Linked DNA regions of Lonchura striata. The protein of the gene in region 1 interacts with the protein of each later gene in a pairwise test. Links are inferred from orthologs where the notes say so. Each region holds a gene or a part of one and is shown on either strand. Other genes may lie near its edges.

Evidence for each region.
Region 2: the proteins of YES1 (region 1) and FUNDC1 interact in binary tests that used the Homo sapiens proteins (3 or more experiments, as listed by UniProt). The two-hybrid records come from large-scale screens. The link is inferred for Lonchura striata from reciprocal best matches to the Homo sapiens genes YES1 and FUNDC1.

What each region holds. Positions count from the first base shown.
Region 1 is NC_134603.1:48,347,797-48,357,433, reverse strand, and holds the start of YES1 (tyrosine-protein kinase Yes), read left to right. Parts: upstream 1-5,315; 5' UTR 5,316-5,430; intron 5,431-9,637. UniProt on the Homo sapiens protein: Non-receptor protein tyrosine kinase that is involved in the regulation of cell growth and survival, apoptosis, cell-cell adhesion, cytoskeleton remodeling, and differentiation.
Region 2 is NC_134604.1:110,766,905-110,777,303, reverse strand, and holds the start of FUNDC1 (FUN14 domain-containing protein 1), read left to right. Parts: upstream 1-6,569; 5' UTR 6,570-6,700; coding exon 6,701-6,764; intron 6,765-7,117; coding exon 7,118-7,274; intron 7,275-9,104; coding exon 9,105-9,180; intron 9,181-10,399. UniProt on the Homo sapiens protein: Integral mitochondrial outer-membrane protein that mediates the formation of mitochondria-associated endoplasmic reticulum membranes (MAMs).

The DNA.
Region 1 (9,637 bases):
CAATGTGTCACAGAAAATTCAAAAGATCTGTTAAGCATCAAAGTATAAAAAAGGCCACTCACACAGCCTGAGGAATTTGTTCATCTTTAAGCAAGATGGTAGCTGAGAGGAAAAGACCATACAGAGTTCTAAAAAAGGTTTAACTTCTAAATAGGATAGTAAGATAGGATAGGAGAGTAAGATTTCTTTTTTTTTAAGTCTATTTCACTTTGCTTTGTTGTATGAAGTCATATATAAAAGCACCACAACAGCATGTGTGTTCAACAGTAAAAATTCAGGATGCCCTGGAAAAGAGGAAATTTTGATGCAGAATCCCCTTCCAGTGCTCCCTAAATGCCATTCTAACTTGGATTCTGCAGCTACTAACATTATTAAGCATTACTTGCAGAATAATGTCTTAGGTAATCACTTAAAGAAAAATAAAATACATATAACCAGTATGTACATGTGCAAGTCTCCCAAAGCCAGCAGAAATTGCTTCTTTGTACTGCCTATCAAATGAGGTCAGAAGTCTCTTAAAGGCTATGAATTACTCTGGCAGTGATGTCAGAACCAACCCCAGTTCAGGTCAGCTTTAGTGCACAAACTTATTTTCCTCCTACTCTTTGTCCTTTTCCACTCTCCCTAAGAGTATATAACCTGCTTTGTGAGGAGGAAGGCATACATTCCAAATCTCTCAGAATTATCTGCACAGTTGCACAGGTAAATATATTATTTTTTTCTGAACATGTATGATTTCACAGGTTTCAGATTCTTCAACTATGAAATTTAAATGAAAAAATAAAAAAAGACTGTGTGCAATCTTCCCAATTAAATCATGCAAGAACCAAAGACACAGGATGTGAAGTTGCTGCCCAAGCAGGGTTGAGTGTTAAGTGTTCATCATATATAGCACTGCCCTTGAAACAAAAGCAGTAGTTATTTTAAGTAACCATAAGCAATACTCATGTGCAATTCAAAGGAGATCCGATATAAAGAGATAAAGATTAGAGTACAGCAATACGGCTTTCATTATACAATGTAATCCAGTGTGTCTGATGTAACTGGATGTGACACAAATGTAAATAGCAACAGGTTTGGGAAGACAGGGTTTTTGAACTCTAACATGCTTTTAAGCATAACTTCTAGTAAGTTCAAAAAACAATATTTGAAGCAATGTTTTTCAAAAAGAACCCTCCACATACTTGCTAGAAGTATAATATACATATATAATTAGACATGCTATGCAAGATCAAACAGAAGTGATATTTGAGAAAGAACGGAATATTTAATCTTGCAAATAGATGTGAGCATCAAACACAAAGATCTGGCCATTTGGAGATGCAGATACATTTTAAGGCAAAATGGGACAAGTTTAACATGAGGCTAAAATAGGATACTTGCTTCAGAATAGGAAATAATTACAGATCAACCAGACAGTGACTTAGCACTCCGTTTCCTTACTGAACTACTATACTGGGATGCAATTTGCATTATATCCAAGGAAGATGTTTCAGTTTTAAACATCAATGATTTTATTAATAGCTTCTGGAATATTAAATAGAAATTAACATCACAAAAACTATGCACTTATTCGACTAATGCTTAGAATATTCAGATTCAAAAGAAATGTATTTGGGATTAAAAAGAAATATCTATGTTTTGCTAAACACCATGTTCTTAAAATAATGATCCAAGAGCTTCAAAGTAAGCAAGTGACTAATACTACTTCCAAGATGAACTGCTTTTTTGTAGTATGATCACACAGTACAATGAACAATGGGAACTTTGCACATGAATTTTGGGAGGTACTGCTATAAAATACCATTGTTTTCCACACTTTCCAAGAGCAAATAGCTTGGATGAGGCCTTGACTACCTCAGTTATTCCTCAAAAAGAGGGAATTAATTTAGGTCCAGAATTTTTTTGATTCCTTTCAAAAGAAAAAATTATTTGTCCATAAACCACTGTAATGTTTTTTTAATTTACCTCTGAATTGTTAGAAATCAATCCCACAAAGTGTTTTCAAGAATGTGTTGATATTTTCAGGTTACTACCACATGTACCATAGATTAACTTTTGGCATGTACTGGCAAAACTCTTCAGAGAATCAATCTGTCCATCTCCTTCAATATATCAGGATGCAAGTCCTGTATGCCCCAATTACAAACCACTGAACCCACATCAGTGTTTGAAATATTTTAGTCTGCCTGTCTCCATCTCTATTCCTCTGTTCCTCCTTCTTTCTGCTCCTACACCTGTATTTCTCCATGTCACCCGAAATATACTTTATTTAGCATAATATGTCCTTGACTCTATCATACATTTTTGGGGATTTTTTCAAATTACTCAAACACATTAAGGATTGTGTAAGTATAAATTACCATTTTAGAAAGTTCAAATATATGAGAATTTCCAAAGATAGTACATAGAGAATGCCTTCCTAAACATCAGCTATTTGCATAAATCTTCAAGATTAAGTTAACCCCAGCCAACCATGCAACAAACAAAAGAGTTAGTGAATGCTGAGCCTGTCTGATGGGCTATTTGATTTGGCAAACTGTGTTCAGCAAATGGCAGCAATGAACCCCTGCATCAGTAGCTTCTTACACTATACTCCAGTCATGCTAAAGCATTTGAGGGCAGCTCCTCCCTCCTCCTTCTCCCACAAGGTCAAAAAAATTAATTTAAAACAAAAGAATGAAAGAGAGGGGAAATTCCTAGAAGTAGGCACTGGCCTTGCCTGACTTGTGGTAGTTTTGGCTGATCCACTCAGTCTTCTGAGTGAATACCAAGCAGTATCAATCCACCTGCACTGCAACATATTTGAGAGCCCACTCAGGAACAGCCACGGAAAGGGAGCTTTAGCCAGGTATCATGTGGCAGACTGCCTGACTGGCAGGCAAAAGGTGGCAATGACACTCCAAGTCCCATCCTGTGCAGGATTAATCAGGCTGAACTACAACAGTTTGATCATTTTAAGTCACTTGTTGAACACTTCGTTATAAAAGGAATACTCTAAGGAACACTCAGACTATCAGTGACAAGTGCATGACAATTTAAGAAGCAAACAGTTTTTCCACTGCAATGAAACCATGTCTAGCCTCCAAGACTCCCGACTCAAACCCTCATCTATTCTTTCACACCCATATGGTGTGAGTCTGAGCTTGCTCTCAACTATGGGACTGGTCAGCTCGTCTTCTCCCCAACTGCTCTGCTATTTTAATCACGCTGTGCTTAAAATTAAGCGTGACAGTCTCTCCACTACCGACCGAGTCAATCACTGGTGCAGCCCCAGTACTCTCTGTGGCAGCTAATAGTACACATACACATAAGACAGTGAACTGAGGACACAGTTCATAACTCAGCCTTTCAAAACCTCACCAAATAATTTCTTACATTGATCTTCACGACAGAAAGCAACAGGAGCGGTGTGATGAACTGAGAATCCCAACAAACCTTTCGGTACCACACGGGCATTGCCAGGTGCCGTGAGAAAGGACTACTGTATAATCCCATCCATCAACACCGAACCTGAAACCCAGACGTCAAATTACAGCGACAGCTGGCAAGAGCCAGTGTGTCTCTAACGATGAAGCTCTAGCCCAATGCTGCAAAATTGCTTAAGTGGGTAATTTTAAAACATCATGAAGATGATAACACAACTAAGTCTCATGTTTTTCAGATATGCAAGTTTTACCATTGTGCTGTAAAATTAACCAATCAGCAACACTTGCCTGTGTATACAAAACCCCACAAATGATACTGGAGTTCAAACTTTGCTTTCACTCAAGACTACCATAAGCCCAGTTGGAGTTTTGAAGTCATAACCGACTTAGAGCTTCAACCAATCTGCAAACTGTTAAGTAATTCATTGCCAAGGTCAATTTTTAAAACTTAAAATTGCTGTTTAAATTAAAAATCAATTCTATATAATGTGAGTTAGATTTCAGACTGAACAGAATATGATGAATTCCAAGACCCTAAGAGGGTCACATGAGAACAATTTATGTTATTGAGTCTCCAAATCTAGAACACTTTTGGTTTTTTTGTACTCTGTTAACAGTTTAAATGTATCTATGGTCCTCTAAAAGCAAATACATGTATTTTCTTTATCTGAAATTAAAAAGCACAAATGGCTTTACTCTGCAGCATTGCCTGCAAAATAAACTGGACATCCTGACTCAATTCTTTTTCTTAAGAACAAACTATATTAGGTTATCATTAGTGATCAACACAACTACTGTTTTCTGATCAGCCTTTAAAGAAAATAAAGCGGGGAGAGATATAAATTTAACTACTAAAGAGCTGGAAACAATAAAAGATAATGCTGAATGAGAAATGACAATTTGCCCACATAAACTTTGGCTTTTTAGGTTCATTTTTTAAATGTTCTTTCACTCTTTCCTGCAGTCTGCAGTTCTGAAGGCTAGATGCATTTGAACCACCTTTCTCCAGGAAGCCCACCTTGACACAAATCCAAGTTTTTATTTCTTAAAATACGAAACACTGACTTAAGGAACGGCGATGAGTGGGAAGGAAACCCGTAACGTGGAATTCCCCGGAGTTACTGATGCGTAATTTACAGGCTCGTTCTTTGCTCGGTGTTCTGCGACCGGTCTGTTCCGCGGCGCCGCCCTGGGCATTCCCGAGCTGCCGGCCGGCCGCTGCAGCACCCGCACTGCCGGAGAGCCGCCTTGCTTCTGCTTCACCCACAGGAAACTAAACGTACCGAGCCTAAGCCGTGGCCCACCTGAAGATGCCTAGGCGAGGAGTTTTAAAAGTTATTTTGTTTGCTTTTCCCGCACCACGCCGAAGGGCTCCGCTGCCGGAATCTCTCGCGTTCAGCTTCTCTGGCAAGAGAGGCTCACCAGCCCGGCCCGGCACGGCACAGCACGGCGGGAGGATCTACCCCCACCGGGGTCCCCGCGACCCACGGCCGGGAGTAGGCGGCCGCCCTCGGGCGAGCCGGGGGGCAGGGCAAGCCCCGGCTCCCTCCCGCCGCCCCCGCGCCGCGCCGCACGTCTCCACCATGTTGTCTCGGTGCGCGGCGGCGCGGAGGAGGGACCGCCGCCGCCAGCCCGGCTCCGCGGGGGCCGCCCGGCTCCTCCCCGCGGCCTCCGGTTCGGCCGCGGAGGCGCTGCCCCGGCCGGGAGGCGCGGCGATTCCGACCCGGAGCGCATGGAGGGAAACGCGGTGCGGGGGAGGGGCCGCGGTGCCCACCGGAGATCCCGGCCATAGGGGCGGGGAGTCTCCTCCTCCTCCTCCCGCAGCGAGGCTCCAGCTCCCCGCACGCACCGGAGCGCTCGGCGCCCTCCTCCTCGTCCCTCCTCCCTTCCCCTCCTCCCCGCTTCCCTCCCCGGGTCGCCGCGGCTCCGGGAGGAGCGGGGGGGCCCCCGCTTCCTTCCCTCCCCCCCTCCTTCTCCCACCCGCCACGCCGAGGAGAGGCAGGTGAGGCCCCGGCCGCGTCCCCGCTCCGCCGCCCCACGGGAGCGGCGGCCGCGATGGCGGCGGCGATGGAGGCGCTAGGCCCCGGCCGCCGCCCCCGGCCTCGCCCCGCCGCCGCGCCCCGGGGCCGGGGGGCGTCCCGCACCCCGGGCCCTTCTCTGCAGAAACTTTCTCGGCAACTTTCTGCCGGGCCCGAGCCCCTGCCCGCGGGGCCGAGGGGTCGGGCGGGCGGGAGCCGCGCTGGGCTGGGCGGGCTGCGGGAGCAAGTTTAGCGGGGGAGGGCCGTGACCCCTCCTTGGCCGGGCCCCCTCCCGGCCCCTGCCCCGGGCGCTGCTCGTCCCCCGGCGGAGGCGGCGCGCACCGCCCGGGCTGGTGCTCGGCGTGAGCCGCTCCCGGCTCCGCTCCCGGCGCGGGGCCGGAGGATGTAAAAGGGCAAAACTCAGGAGTCGCCCGTAGCTTGGCCTGCGTGGTTTTATATTCTATTAATTTTTCTTCCCCCCGCTCCACTGTTCTGGTTTATATCCTATTATCGAGCCTGGAACATGACCGCCGTACATTTCTGAGTCATTAATTTAAATGTTCAATCATCACACTTCATCAGGGCTTCTTGTCTTCCTTACAGTTTTAAGGAAAAAAATGTGTTGGGCACACACAGGCCCCTGTTCCTGCGGAGTCTGCACATAACTTTCTGCTCTCTGTGGACCCGCAGGCTTTATGTGCTTAAAGTTGTGTGCTCAGACCAAGGGCTAGTGTGACTTCTCCAATTTTCATTTTTACAAATATGTGAAGTTTATGATACAGTTATTTATTTTATTAATATATGGGCTTCTGTGTGTCTTGTATGCATGTGGGTATGGTCCACTTGGCACTGGGGAAACTAGGACAGAAATATTTCCGAAGCTCGTATAATAAAGGTGTATTCAGATGTACCTGCTGGATTTAACCCTAGGCAGAGGCCAGTCATTAATTAAAAATTAGATCTTTGGATTTACCTAAAGTGGCAGAATGTTCCAAAACCAGTCTTGAAGCTTGGAGTGTGTTGACAAAGAAAGTGTATTGGTTTTCACTTAATTTAATTCATAGATAACTGAGTGATATTTCAGGCAAGTTTTGCAAATGAAATTGATCTTAAGTCAGAAAGCAGATACAAAAGTTTACTTCAGAGTCTTTTTCTTTCCTTTTTGGAAAGTAAGTGTTGAAGATGGATAGAATTGCCTTGTCAGTTACCTTTGCAGTACCTCTGTTTGTAGGTATAGCCCAGCCATAACCATGTTTTTGTTGGCTTCGCAGAAGTAAGAATGTTTCCTTTCCAAACAATAAAACCTTGCACTTCCACTCTTATTTCTGTTGTGTATCTGTAAATTCAGTTGTAGGAGGTTCCTAGTGAGCGTAAGCATAGAGTGGAGACTTGGTGTGTGTTCTGCACAGCCAGGGTGTTGTGGTTAATTTTGGGACAAGGTAGCATCTGTGATGGCAACAGGGACAGCAGCATGGGCACTGTGCTCCTGCTGAATTTCGAAGAAAAAGATCCTGTGTACCAGGTGTGGCAGTAGTTAGTAGCAGCAATTGCCAGTAATTAATTATTCCATGTGCTTTGTTAGCTTGATTCCTTTAACAGGTGCAGCTCAAATAAAGCTATAATTTCTCTGTGCCTTCAGTCCCTCTAATAACTCTTTTGGCTTTTAGAAGTGTTCAAATAAATTTGGCAGCAGAGGTCTCCCAGGTGGGCTGTTGCTACAAAATTTCTGGAAGTAAGGAAGCTGGGTAGAACGGTGCTTTTAACCTGCACACCAGAGAGTTCATGGCAACGCTTACCTCAAGCTGGAAATTGCTGCAGGAAATGGGGCCTCCCTGTTTTTGCTGCTTGCAGAGCTACTGGTTCAGTTTTCAATAGTTATTTAATAACTGAACCCTGGTACCATTCTATCTGGAATGAAACTGGTGAACCCAAGGTAGCTTTAATCTGTATTTTGTATTACAGTGAGAGATTTTCAAAGAAATACTTGTTACTCAACAACCGTTCTTTGGGTACAAAACAAATGAGTGGAATTGAAAGTATACTTAAATTGCTGCATTATTTCGAAATAGCAGGGAAAATAATACATTTTTGGTGTGCTGCATACTGTGTAGCAGAATTACTGAAAAACTTCACATTATAGGGGTTTTTATCAATATTCATGCAACAGAGCAGAGAACTAGTCTTCTGCACCAAAGAAATGCTCTTTATTTTGAGCTTTGTGCACTTCTGCAGCCCCTGAAGAGCGAAATTGTCGCTCTGTTCAGTCTGATAAATCATGGCCATCATGTGACAGCGATGCAAAAGCCTGCAGTGTAGCACACGTCAGATTATGTGGTCAAAGTTTACTTTTTGAACAACCTGGCTGCATGGTTTTACTTTTCCATATGCACTACCTGCGGACAAAAGCTGTACATTTTCAATAGATAATTCCTTGTGTTCAAAAAATTAGTTACAAGAAAAATGTTCTTTCATTCATATCCCCTAGTTGCATCCAGCTGTTTTGCCACATAGTTTGATCACAGTTTGAGCGAGGTACCTTGATGTTAATTTAAAAATTGGTGTCAGTACTAACACAAAAATGACTTTAGGAACACGTCCTTATTCTGCTGTGTTGCATCAAGCAGCCATTTTCAGGTAGGACACGTTCTGTGCATATGTACACAGCCTGTGGTTTCTGTGAGGTCCTCCTGAAAGGTTTCAGGCTTCTAGTACTGAAAGTCCTGTGCCTGTTAATGGAATAGATTGATCCGTGAGGAAGAACTGCAGTTTCTCTAACTACCGCAACAGAATGGGTTAGTTTTTGTCTTGGAGGAGCCACCTCCAAGTATGAGTAGGTAACTCAGTCTCAGGATTTATTTAATTTCTGTTCACCTTGAGAGTGCCAGTCGGAGGCTGTTATATACTGATGGATTTTATGATGTGATAATATTTTTTATAATTTTTTAAAATACTGCTTTACGATTGCCATATGGGAACTTCCTTCAATCACTAGTCCCTGGCTGCATTCACACCAATTATTAGAGCTGTAGGGTTCCAGATTGTATCACCAATTGCCAGATTTTGAAGGTAAACCTAGACAACTTCCCATGTGTATGCTTAGTTTAGTAGGGAAAATGTAATATTGAAAAGATGCGGTCAACTAATTGTAGGACAGGTTTAATTTTAGATTATAAGAGATTGTTCTTACTGCCTTTTGCAGTTACGGGGATTTATCCTTGATGGTGCTGGTGCATCAAAAGAGAAACTGGCACCAAAGTAATTGCCAGTTATTGAAATGAAGGGGCTGCACCCTTAGGTAACATTAACATGCATGGCTGATTGCAGGATCAGAGATCAAGATGATAGTAACTTTAATGCCAGAAATTGAGTAAGTCAACACTATTACTTATGTATGAATTTTGTTCCTTTTAAACACATATTCTTTGAACATGTAAAGGGTAGCTGGAAAAAGGATAGGAAATGTTCTCTGTTGTCATTTTGGATAGGCACTGCATAGAGCACTGTGTTTCATGCTGTGTCCTGTAAGTCAGTGGACCAAAGCCATGCACAGCTGAAATCAAGCCTTCGAGCTGGACTTCTGGCTAGCCCTGGCTGGTATCCGAGCCTCACAGCTCAGTGGGCTACTGTTGTAGAGATCATCACAGACAGCTTTTAAGGCTCTGACTGTTGTGGCCAAGGCTGGGGTTTTGTTTTGATTTTTCTTGTCTGCAGTATTAGGTAATGTTATAGAGCACAGTTGGAGAATGCTGAGGAAGTCAAACCTTGGACTGGAATAATTTGTATTTTAGCTTCTCTTGAACACTTTGAGTGTTGTTGAGTAGGCAATTGGATAACTTTTTTTGCTAACCGGGCTGTATTTTATCTTTGTATTTTTGGAAGGGAAATACTTGTATAGTACTGTAACATGAGACTTTAATAAATATCAATAATGACTACACCTGTATCTTAAATGTTTATGTAAATTTTGAATTCTGTTGGTGATCCTGAACATCAAATAACTTGTCTTTCAACTTGTCACTTCAGGGAGATGAAAAACTTCTATGGCTTAAGATGTTTCTATGGTTTTCTTCACACCAGAAGTCTAGAGAAGTCTGGGAGAAAGAAATGATTCTTCAGAAGTGATGAACCCTTTTAGTTGAAATTTTAGGATTATCTAGATGAGGCTTACAAGAATGAATAACTTTGTTTGGT
Region 2 (10,399 bases), on another chromosome or scaffold:
CTACCTGTGACTGGCACAGCAGCATCTGATCAAAGGTTTTCTTTCCTTGGCAGCAGTGATGACTCACAGTACTTATCCTTTGTGTACTGTCTAGTGTTTATTCATTACAGTTCTGTATTCTTTTTCCTTCTTGCAAGAAAATGAAAAACATTATTGCCGTGTTTCCCTTCAGTTTAGGATTTTTAACCTTTTTTTGGTGCAGGGCTTCACAAACAGAAAAATCTGGAATTCTTTGGGCTCTTCACCTCTTAGATGGTATTTCTGGAGGGTCTTCAACTATTTCAGCGTGGATTTTTTGTAAATCTGCCCTGCCCAGTTATTACCCTGTTACCCTTAATTTTTAAAAGCCAAGCAAAGAAGTTTCATTTTTCTTTTCATTGTTTATGTGCACTTATGCTACAGAAAATAGGAACATCTGTTAGCTGTGGAAGTGGTGTGTATGATTGATTCATCATTACAGCTCCTCTAAAAAGTAATTCCTTACATTTGCTTGACAAGACAGACTGCCAGACTATCAGTCTGTTCTCACTCTCTGTTAGTTTGTCCGAGTACTTGAGTGACAATAGCAGGGAACTCCGAAATACCTACAGGATTTGCCAAGGGAATTGGATATTTATCTCTGAAGGAGAACTTGAAATCAAAATATATCATTACATTCATGATCCCAGCTAAAAGCTGTTTAAAGAACTTCTCTAAAATAATGCAGTACTACAGTCAGCACACTTTTCTGTAATTTTATAATATGGACATACAGTAAACAAAAGGTTACCTCCAGATAGTTAAAAATCTTTCCTATTTTACTTACAAGAAAACAGCAAATTAAAAACACAGACTTGGCAGAACCCTTTCATTAAAAAAAAGTCACTTTGCATATGAGAAGAGTTTTAAACAAGAATATAACAACAGAGAGACACCTATACCAGATTGAAGACAACCTTCCAGGGCCTTGCAAGACTTTCTCAGATTCAGTTCCCCTCGCTGTCCTTTATTTGCCTGGGCAATAACACGAAGCCTCAAATTTAGCTGAACACTTCAGTTTTTATTAAACATTTTGACTGTGCAAGAGGAACCTTCCTGAGTCATCTCCTGCATTCTGCTCCTTCCCGCTGCCTCCAGGGAAGATCCTAAAGGAATGATGAGCTCAGCTCTGCCCCAGGAGTGCTCTGCCACAAGCTCAGCTCCCTTCTGGCCGTGATCCCAGCGTTTTTCCACAGGCAAGGAGCACCGACCATCCCAATGCATACATGGGATTCACACAATAGCAGGAGGTCACGGTCAGAGCTCTGTGCTGCAGCCCAAGCCTGGTAACTCATCAGAGCTGAGATCAAAAGATTAATGGATAATCAGCTTGCCTTATTATCAATACAGTAAACAAAATGAACAGGAAAGATCAATCCCCCCCTTAACTTCTTATTTTTATTTCCTTACTTTTCCAGACGAGGGTCATGGGAATGTGTCCTGCTGCAGCCTGACCTGACACTAACCATCAGTTTTGTTTAATAAGTGCTGTGGTACACCTTACCTGGGTGATGTCTTTGGTTGTTACCTGTTTAAACACCTTCCACAGCACACTAAACTTGGTTTTTCTTTTTGTATCAGTTGAATTCTTCAGCAAGAGACTATTTAAACTCGTGTTAGTTAATGGAGACAATAGACATATCTTTCTTTGGACATTTCTCCTCCACTTATACATGGATTGTGGTGGGAATTTATAACTTAAATTTCATTAGGATAAATGAATTAAGATTTATGGTTGGACTCAATAGTGTTAAAGCTCTTTTCTGACCAAAATTTTTCTGTGATTCTAAGATAAAGGAGGCTGTTATCAAATTAGAGTACTACAAAACTGAAAAGCAGAATTTAATTATGTTCACAAACAAGAAAAAAATTTTCATAATTAAATTTTGTTGAACCTCGCAACAAACATTTTACAAAGAAAAGTGACAAAGGAAGGTTGAAGGCAAGCAATACAAGCAAGCCATCCAAAATTTCACATGGAGATGGCAGGAGACACAAGGATGTGTATTTGTTAATGTCATAATTACAGGGAATATTATCTTCATTTTAACATCATAGAATCATGGAATATCCTGAATTGGAAGGGACCCACAAGGATCATCAAAATCCAGCTCCTGGCCCATCCACAAGAATCCAACCATGTGCCTGAGAGCATTGTTCAAATGCTGCTTGAGCTCTGTCAGGCTTGGAGCTGTGACCACAGCCCTGGGGAACCTATTCCAGTACCCAACAACCCTCTGGGGGAAAAATCTCTTCCTGACATCCAAACTAAAGCTCCCCTGATGCAGCTTCATGACATTCCCACAATTCCTGTCCCTGGTCACCATGGAGAAGAGATCAGTGCCTGCCCCTGCACTGCTCTTTGTCAGGAAGCCATGGAGCTTCCTACTGCATTAACAGTCCAGGTTATTGCTCCACAACAGCCCTTGCCCAGGATCTTGATGGACTTAGAACCCAAATCCCTTCCCAGACATTTCTCTGCCATTTTCCAGCCAACAGAGCTTTGAATAACAGCATGTTCACATAGGGTTGTTAAAAAGGAATCATCCATTCACTCCAATACCTTTATTGCCAGGTTATTCTGACTGCATTTACTAGATTAAGCCTGTGGAGAACATAAGTTTCACTCACAAGCAAGGCCTAGTGGAGAGGGCTGGCAGTGTGTGTTGCCTTTAGTTTCTATAATTAATCATGCAAGGTGGTAAAAAATTAAAGGATGTATGTTCCAGTTTGGAATTCTGGTCAGCAGCACAAAGCTGCTAGGATTAGAGTCGCACAGGCATTTGATGATTGGGGGTCTCTCTTCTGCTTTTTGGGGTTTTGGGGCATTTGGGGGTTTTTGGTTGCTTAGTGTGGAGTTTTTTATTATTTGTAAGGTACGTGTGTGCCATGTATGTTCCATTGCAAGCTGTGACCCTGAACATGCTTGTCACAGCTATAAGGTACAGAGGGTGGCTGCACAGCCTGAACTTGTAGGTAGCATTTACAGAGCAAAGAGAGCAGTTTTTCTGCGCAGTCCTTCTGATGATACAGGAAAACACTTTGTTCCTGAAGAACCTTTAAGGGTGAAGCCAAAATGTGGCCTGAGTTTAAATTGTCTACCTTTCCTTGGAAAATCTGTCAGAATCTGCCATTAATAGCTTGAAGGAAGCATCAGGGTGCAAGAGATTTGAATGGGCTTGGGGAATTTTATACATCACAGTGGGGCTGGTAAAAGCTCTGCCAGTTATTCTTGGTCTCTGGAGCCACGAGGTTTGCTGTCTCTGCACAGGGTACGGATTTTGCTGGGAGCAAGAACAATCCTGACATCATTTTCTGTGCAAGCATTGAGCCAATCCCCCAGGCAGTGCCTGCAGATCCCAGGCAGATACTGGGAGCACCACTGCATCCTACTGTGGTGTCCATCCAACTGGAACCCACTGGGAAACGCCTTGGGGTGCATCCTGATCCCAGAACAGAGACAACACAACCCGAAACCTGCCAAAGGGCTTTCCCTGGGTCTTTCCTAAACTCCTTCCCTGCCACTCACACCACCCTGACTTGGCAAGAGGGGTGCAAAAGGAAGCAAACAGAATTCGCAGGTAGTACATGATGCAGCTACTAATGTTAATCTTTTAAAAGTGCTAATTATACAAACCTCCCTGTTCTGAAAGGAAATTAATATAATTGTTTGCACAGAAGTGCTGCTATTTTTTAACTGATAGTAGTTAAAAATAGGGAAGCCAAATATTAAGAATTCAAGCTACAAAAGGTACAAAAATAGCCAGGCTCACACAACGTGAGCAAAACTCTCTGGTCACCTCTCTTACCTTACTGGCATCTGACTGGGAAATGTCAACAAGCACTTTTTTACTGACTGGGAAGGGAATACCAAACCCACCAATTTTATGCTTAAACAAGAAAACTCCCAAGATGCACAGTGTTTGTCAAAACAAATCATAAGAGACAAATCTGTTTGTTCCTTATAGGAATGTATCTGTTGAAAACCTTAGAGAAAGCAATATATTACCAGTTCTGTCTGGCATGCTGTCACCTAATTATCACAATGGCAAATGTTTGTAATAAAAATAATTTAATAAGCAAACAACCACTTTATACACTAATTTCAAGTTTTATATGCTAATTTCAGTTTCAGAGCAGACTACAGAAGGACTTTCTCGTGGAAGATACATTCTTCCCTCTTCTGGTATGTCTGTAAAGGCTGGTGTAATTAAGGGGTTTAATTAAAATCCTAAATGCTTACTCCATAAAAATAGCTTTATGACATACAGAAAAGTGGATTTTATTCATTATAATTACCTGCTTTGTGTATTGACAGTGTAAGAGTCCAAGTGAGAAGCTGTAAACACTTTTAAATAATTTGTTTTCAATTTTATTATTTATAAATTAAGTTCCTTGATGTTTTCTTCATTCATATTGCAATAAAGCTCCTAAAGGTGCACTTACTGTGTCAGCCACCTCCGTGGCGGCTGCATACATTTAAAAAAACAGTCCTAAAATACAATTATGTGGCTTTTAGCCCATTGAAACCCCACCAACGCATTGAAGGAGCAAGCACACCAGGGCTCAAATTTAGTTTTTTCCAATGTTTCACAGCTCACATTGGCTTTAACCTTTGTACTTTGAGGGGCCTTGTGTTTGGTTTTTTCTGGTTATTAATTTTTATGGGGCTCGTGGCACGCAGCTGCTGTCCAGCCATGCCTGCAGCCACTGGGAGATATTGAGAAGGTTTTGGGGTTCTTACCCCCACCACTGGCATCAATGAGCCCCTCAAGGCACAGGCTTGAATATCGTGTGCTGTTTTGAGGACCACAATACAAGAAACACAGTGAACTGTTGGAGAGAGCCCAAAAGAGGGCAACGAAGATGGTGGAAGGCCTTGAGGGGAAGCGTGTGAGGAGCAGCTGAGGGCGCTTGGTCTGTCCAGCCTGGAGGAGACTGAGGGGAGACCTCAGTGCAGTCACAAATTCCTTGTGAGGGGAGAGGAGGGGCAGGCACTGATCATCACTCTGTGATGACGGTGACACATCCCGAGGGAATGCCCTGAAGCTGTGTCAGGGCAGGTTTAGGTTGGATATTAGGAAAAGATTCTTCCTCCAGCGGGTTCGCTGGGCAGTGGAACAGGCTCCCCAGGGCAGTGGTCACAGCACCAGCCCGGCAGAGCTCAAGAAGCGTCGGGATAACTGAGGCACACGGCAGGATTCTTGCGGTGCCTTGCGCAGGGCAGCCAGCTGGATTCGCTGATCCCCGCGGGTCCTCTCCAGCTCGGGATACGCCACTATTCCCACCGCGCAGCCCGCGCCCCTTCCCGCAGCCTCCCCCTCAGGGACTCCCCGGGGTGAGGGGAGCGGGAGGCGCATGCGCGGCGCGGCCGCGAGGGGGCGGCACCGCGGCGGGGCGGGGCGCGAGCGGCCGCTGGGGGCGCAGCGGGGCGGCCGCTCGCCGCCTCAGCACCGGCCAACATGGCGGCGCGGCGGCCCCGCTCCGCCTCAGGTCAGTGCTGGCCCCTTCCTGACGGGAGCGCGGAGGAGGCGGCGCGGCGGGCGCCCTTCCTCCTCTCGGGGGCGGCGGGCAGCCCCCTCCCGCTGCGTCCCGGGGGCGGGGAGGGATGGCCCGGGCTCTGCGCCTCCCTTGTCCGTTGCGTGTCCCCCCCTCCACCGCGCGGCCCGGCGCATCGGCCCCGGCGCTCCTGGCATCACCCGGGCTAAAGCTCGTTCCCGGGATTTAACCAGCCAAACCCCTTCTAGGCAGGCCCGCGGGCAGAATGAGGGCCGGCCGAGCCCTCACGGAGCCGGAGGTGCCGGGGGGATGCGGGACCGGAGGCTCCAGCCCCCATGGCCGCCGCATCCTTCCCCGCGCGGGGCTCTCCGGGCATCGCTGTGGCCTCGTCCTGCGGCGCCTTTCGGCACTGGCACGTTCCGTGTGCTTGGGCAGTGTGCGGAACATCATTTGTCGCATGCAGGAGGATTTTTCATCGGTAGAAAACGCTCTGGCAGTTATTTGCCACAGAGCGTGTTATGGATGTGTACACTAGTTCTGGTTTAAATAATAATAATTTAAGGGCGGAATTATTGTGACTGTTCATGACAGTGTTTTAATATTCTCCATCCAAAGAAGTTAAACAAGTTGTCCTCAGTACTGCAAAGAAAGAACATTCAATATCAATTTTTTAGCATTATAGGTCTCACTATTTATTACTTAGTACTCAAGGACATATGGTAATAAAGAGAAATAATGCCCACCTATATATGTACTTCTTGCAGTCTTTGAAGCTTTTACCCATACTGGTAGTACAAGTTAAAAAACTGTCAAAATTTTAATAAAATGTTTATATTTACAGTCTTGCTTTAATTCTAGGTAAAAATTTAACTTCTTCTGGAATGTCCTACCCATAGTGCTGAATTTAGATTTAACCTTAAATATATTTAATCAAAGTGGACTTCAGTTCATGTGTGTATGTCACAGACTGTGATACACTTTTAAAATATTTTTCTTTAAAAATCTAGACCCATCTCTTTCCTCTGATGCTTGAGTATACACAGTGTTGAGGATCTCTTAATTTGAAATTGTAGGATGCCTGTTTTGAAAACATTGACAGAATTGTCCTGAAAACATGGAACCTAACTGAAGTCCCTGTGTCATCTGTTTCACTGGAAAAGGAACAGAAGTCGCTTCCTGGCAAATGCTGATGCCTGGTCCTCTGAGGAGAGCACTGGGCCAGAAGTTCTTAATCTTTCCAAATGTTGGTCTGTCCCTTTGGTTTTTGTTGGGTTTTTTTGTTTGTGGTGAATGAGATGACTGGTAGTTTTATCGGATGTCTCTTGAACAGGCAGGGGATTCTTGTTCACCTTTGCAGTGCCAGGCGTGGATTTTATTGATTATACCACTGCTGTAGCCTTCTACACCTTACCTTGGTGATGGCATAGAATCCCCAAATCCTTTGTTCTGGGAGCTGCTGGACCATAACTTGTACATTACAGTTGAAACCATTGGATTACCCGGTTAATGCCCAAACTGAGTCTGGGACTTTCACATAACTTGTTAATTTACTCTATAACTGAGAAGATAACATGTTTAAAAATTGCTTTTTCTATTTCAGACCACGACAGTGACGACGATTCCTACGAAGTGCTGGATTTAACAGAATATGCTCGACGTCACCATTGGTGGAACCGCTTGTTTGGCCGGAATTCAGGACCAATTGTAGAAAAATACTCTGTAGCCACACAGATTGTGATGGGAGGTGTGACTGGCTGGTGAGGGAGCTTCCCTTTCCATAACTGGCCTAGACATTTTACTTTGTTAGGAGATCCATTTCCAAGGGTATTTGAAAGCAGATAAATACATGTTTAATGGGATTTCCTTTAGCATTGATCAAGATTGTTCATGTGTGAACAATTTTAGCTTGTTACTCTGACTCATTATGAAGTGTTTTTTAATAGTGGTGAAACATGAGTTATCCAAGGGAACTCATACTAGTTACTGTGGAAAAGATTTGGGAAAATGTCAGAGCTCTAAAATGACAAGAAATAAATGGAAAATTACTACATGTAGCTTTTACTCTGTATGGAAGAGCATACTTCCTTATCTAGATTTAGAAACTTAGTTATATTATGGCTGAGACATATTTACAGGTAAAAGAAATGAAGGAAGGAAAAAAGGATGGCAAAATGTACTTTTAATTAAGAGCCTCATTTCCTGGAGACTTTTTTTCTTCTAAATTGAGCTGCAGCCATGTTGAGCAAATTCACAGTTTACTGTGATGTTAACTGATACATAGCCTAGTTATACTAGAATAATTCATGGTGAAAGCTAGACAGTCAGGATGAGAACTTAAACTGGAAAATGTGGTCACAGCCTGAGCAGCTGTGTCAAGGTATTTGTTATTTGTCAGAGGTATTTGAATGGTATTTGTCTACTCCAGTACACAGAAAAACTGTAAATTCATTGAAAAACACCATTATAGTAGCAAAGTGACTTTTAAAGAGGGATTATGCAAGGATTAGAAGATGAAATAAACTAAAAATGAAATTATTGTACCCAGCTCAGTACAGCTTTGTGGTGTGGGTTTAGCTTTCAGTCAGAATTTTTTATTTGCTTCTGTAGCCTTAGAGTTATTTTAAAAAGTTATATGTGTACGTGTAAACTCAGATGTTTCTAGGGAATAGTTCATCTGGCATCCATAAAAACTGGCTTATTGAATGATCTGGAAAATGCACATTTCAGTATCTGTAGATGCACATCTCTCTGGCTGCCTACTGATGTATATAAATGACAATTCACTATTTATATGCAGCGGGAAAAAATTCCCCTCTGCATGTGAGCCAGTGTTTAGACACACTGGAATTGCCCAGGGAAGTTGTGGAACCATCAGCCTTGGAAACTCATGTCTGAGTCAGGGCTCTTGGCAGCCCGATCCAGCTTTGAGATTGGATTGGGCTCTGCAGCAGTTTTGGGAAGGTGACTGGCCCAGGTGACCTCCAGAGGCCCCTTCCTGCCTTGTCATTGTTCTGTGATATCCATATCTGTTCTCCATTTGATGAGGGAGGTTTGGAGCCTGAGAACAAGGTAATTTTCTGGTTGCCTTGATCCATTAAAAATAGACTTAACACCATGTCCCAGCAGAGTGCCCTCACTGAGTTTAACTCTTGTGATAGGAATGTGCTGCTTTTTACTGAGATATTTCAGTTATGAGTTGTGTAGTTAATATAAATTACAGTATAATATATTTACATTCCACTTGGGAACAGTTATAGTAGCACTGTTATGTAATTATGCTGTGCTTTATTAACATGCTACATTTAATAGCAGTAAGATCTTGGGATCTCAAGGTTACTTTAAAGGGGCCATGAGACAGCCAGGAACAGGCAACCATTACTCACATTGTATTGTTTTAAACATTGTTAATTTAATATTGCTTGAATTAAATAGCCTTGATTTTTAAATTTGTAAATATGAAGTGATACATTTGCTTTTTATATGAAATAATGGTAATAGTTGTAGTCAGGAATTGTGTAGTGTGGCATTGTTTAGCAGAAAACTTCATTAGACTGGGTTTTTTTTTTGTTTTGTTTTGTTCCCCTAAGGTGTGCGGGATTTTTGTTCCAGAAAGTCGGAAAGCTTGCAGCAACTGCAGTAGGTGGTGGCTTTCTTCTGCTTCAAGTATGTAGCATTTCATGCTTTATAAGTTGGCAAATGTTATTTACTAAACAATAGGAAAAGCACAGCTGTTGGGTAACATTTAATTAGGAAGGCATCTTACCTACTTCATCTTTTTAGTCTTATCAGTCAAAACCTTACATTTGAGCTGGAATATTGTGTACAAATGTACAAAGGAGACATTTCTAAAATCAGTGGTAAATCAGAATCTACTCTGTCCTGTAAAATAGTTTGTTGTAAGACAAGAGAACTTCCGTGCAGAAGCTGAGGTACTGTGTGTGATTTGACACTGCCAGATGAGAGGAACTGCCTGTAAACCTATGGTTAGGGAGAATTTAAAATGTGTTTGTTTTACTTTGGTTTGATAGTTTTATCATAGCTGTTTTGGCAGTTGCCTGGAAGGCTTGTTCTGGTCCCAGTATGAGCTGTGTTTTTCTGTTTTCTCCCTTTGCCATATTTTATCTATTGAATCTCTTAAAGCCTGGCTGAATTTTGACAGCTTCATTGTATTCCTCTCTGCTGGCTTTCGGGTTCAGAAGTTTTTAATTATGTTATCTGGCATGATCATTTGCATTTTTCATCATTGTGATTAGGGGAGGATATATTTGCAAAAAAACCTTTGAATTAGACGAAACTTTAAGTGAAGGAGAATTGCATGTGTCCTTCTGTAAAATGCCAGGATTTTACTGGCATTTTTCATGTCTTAATACCTGTGAACTTCTCATTTTTCCACAGATTTTTCTAGGGGATATAGATTGGTGCCTACTTAGGCTCAATGATACACAATTTCTTCAGAGGGGAGGTTAAAGACACATTTATTCTTTCCAGCATCACCCTGGAGGGTTTCTGAAAGGCATATCCTGCTTTTATTTCTTTTGATTGTAGTGGCTGGTGCAGCCAAGCGCTGATCAGGAAGGGTGGGGTGGTAACTGCTGCTGTGTAATACATTGCAGTGTTGCTGTTGTGTGAAGTACACATATTTTCTTGATAGTCATGGTCCCCCAGTGGTTTGGGAGCTGCTTTGGTTTTTTCCTCTCCCCATGTTTTGTATGCCATTGATCTTAATTATTTTAATGATAAGTATTTTATCAATATGACTGAATAGCTGCCACACAGAGGCACCCAGGGTGGAGGCAGCAGATTGCTGCAGGTGCCTTCCTCAGTACTCCTGACTACAGGAAGCTGAAAAGTTAAAGCTGAGACCTGTAGACAGAGGAGAATG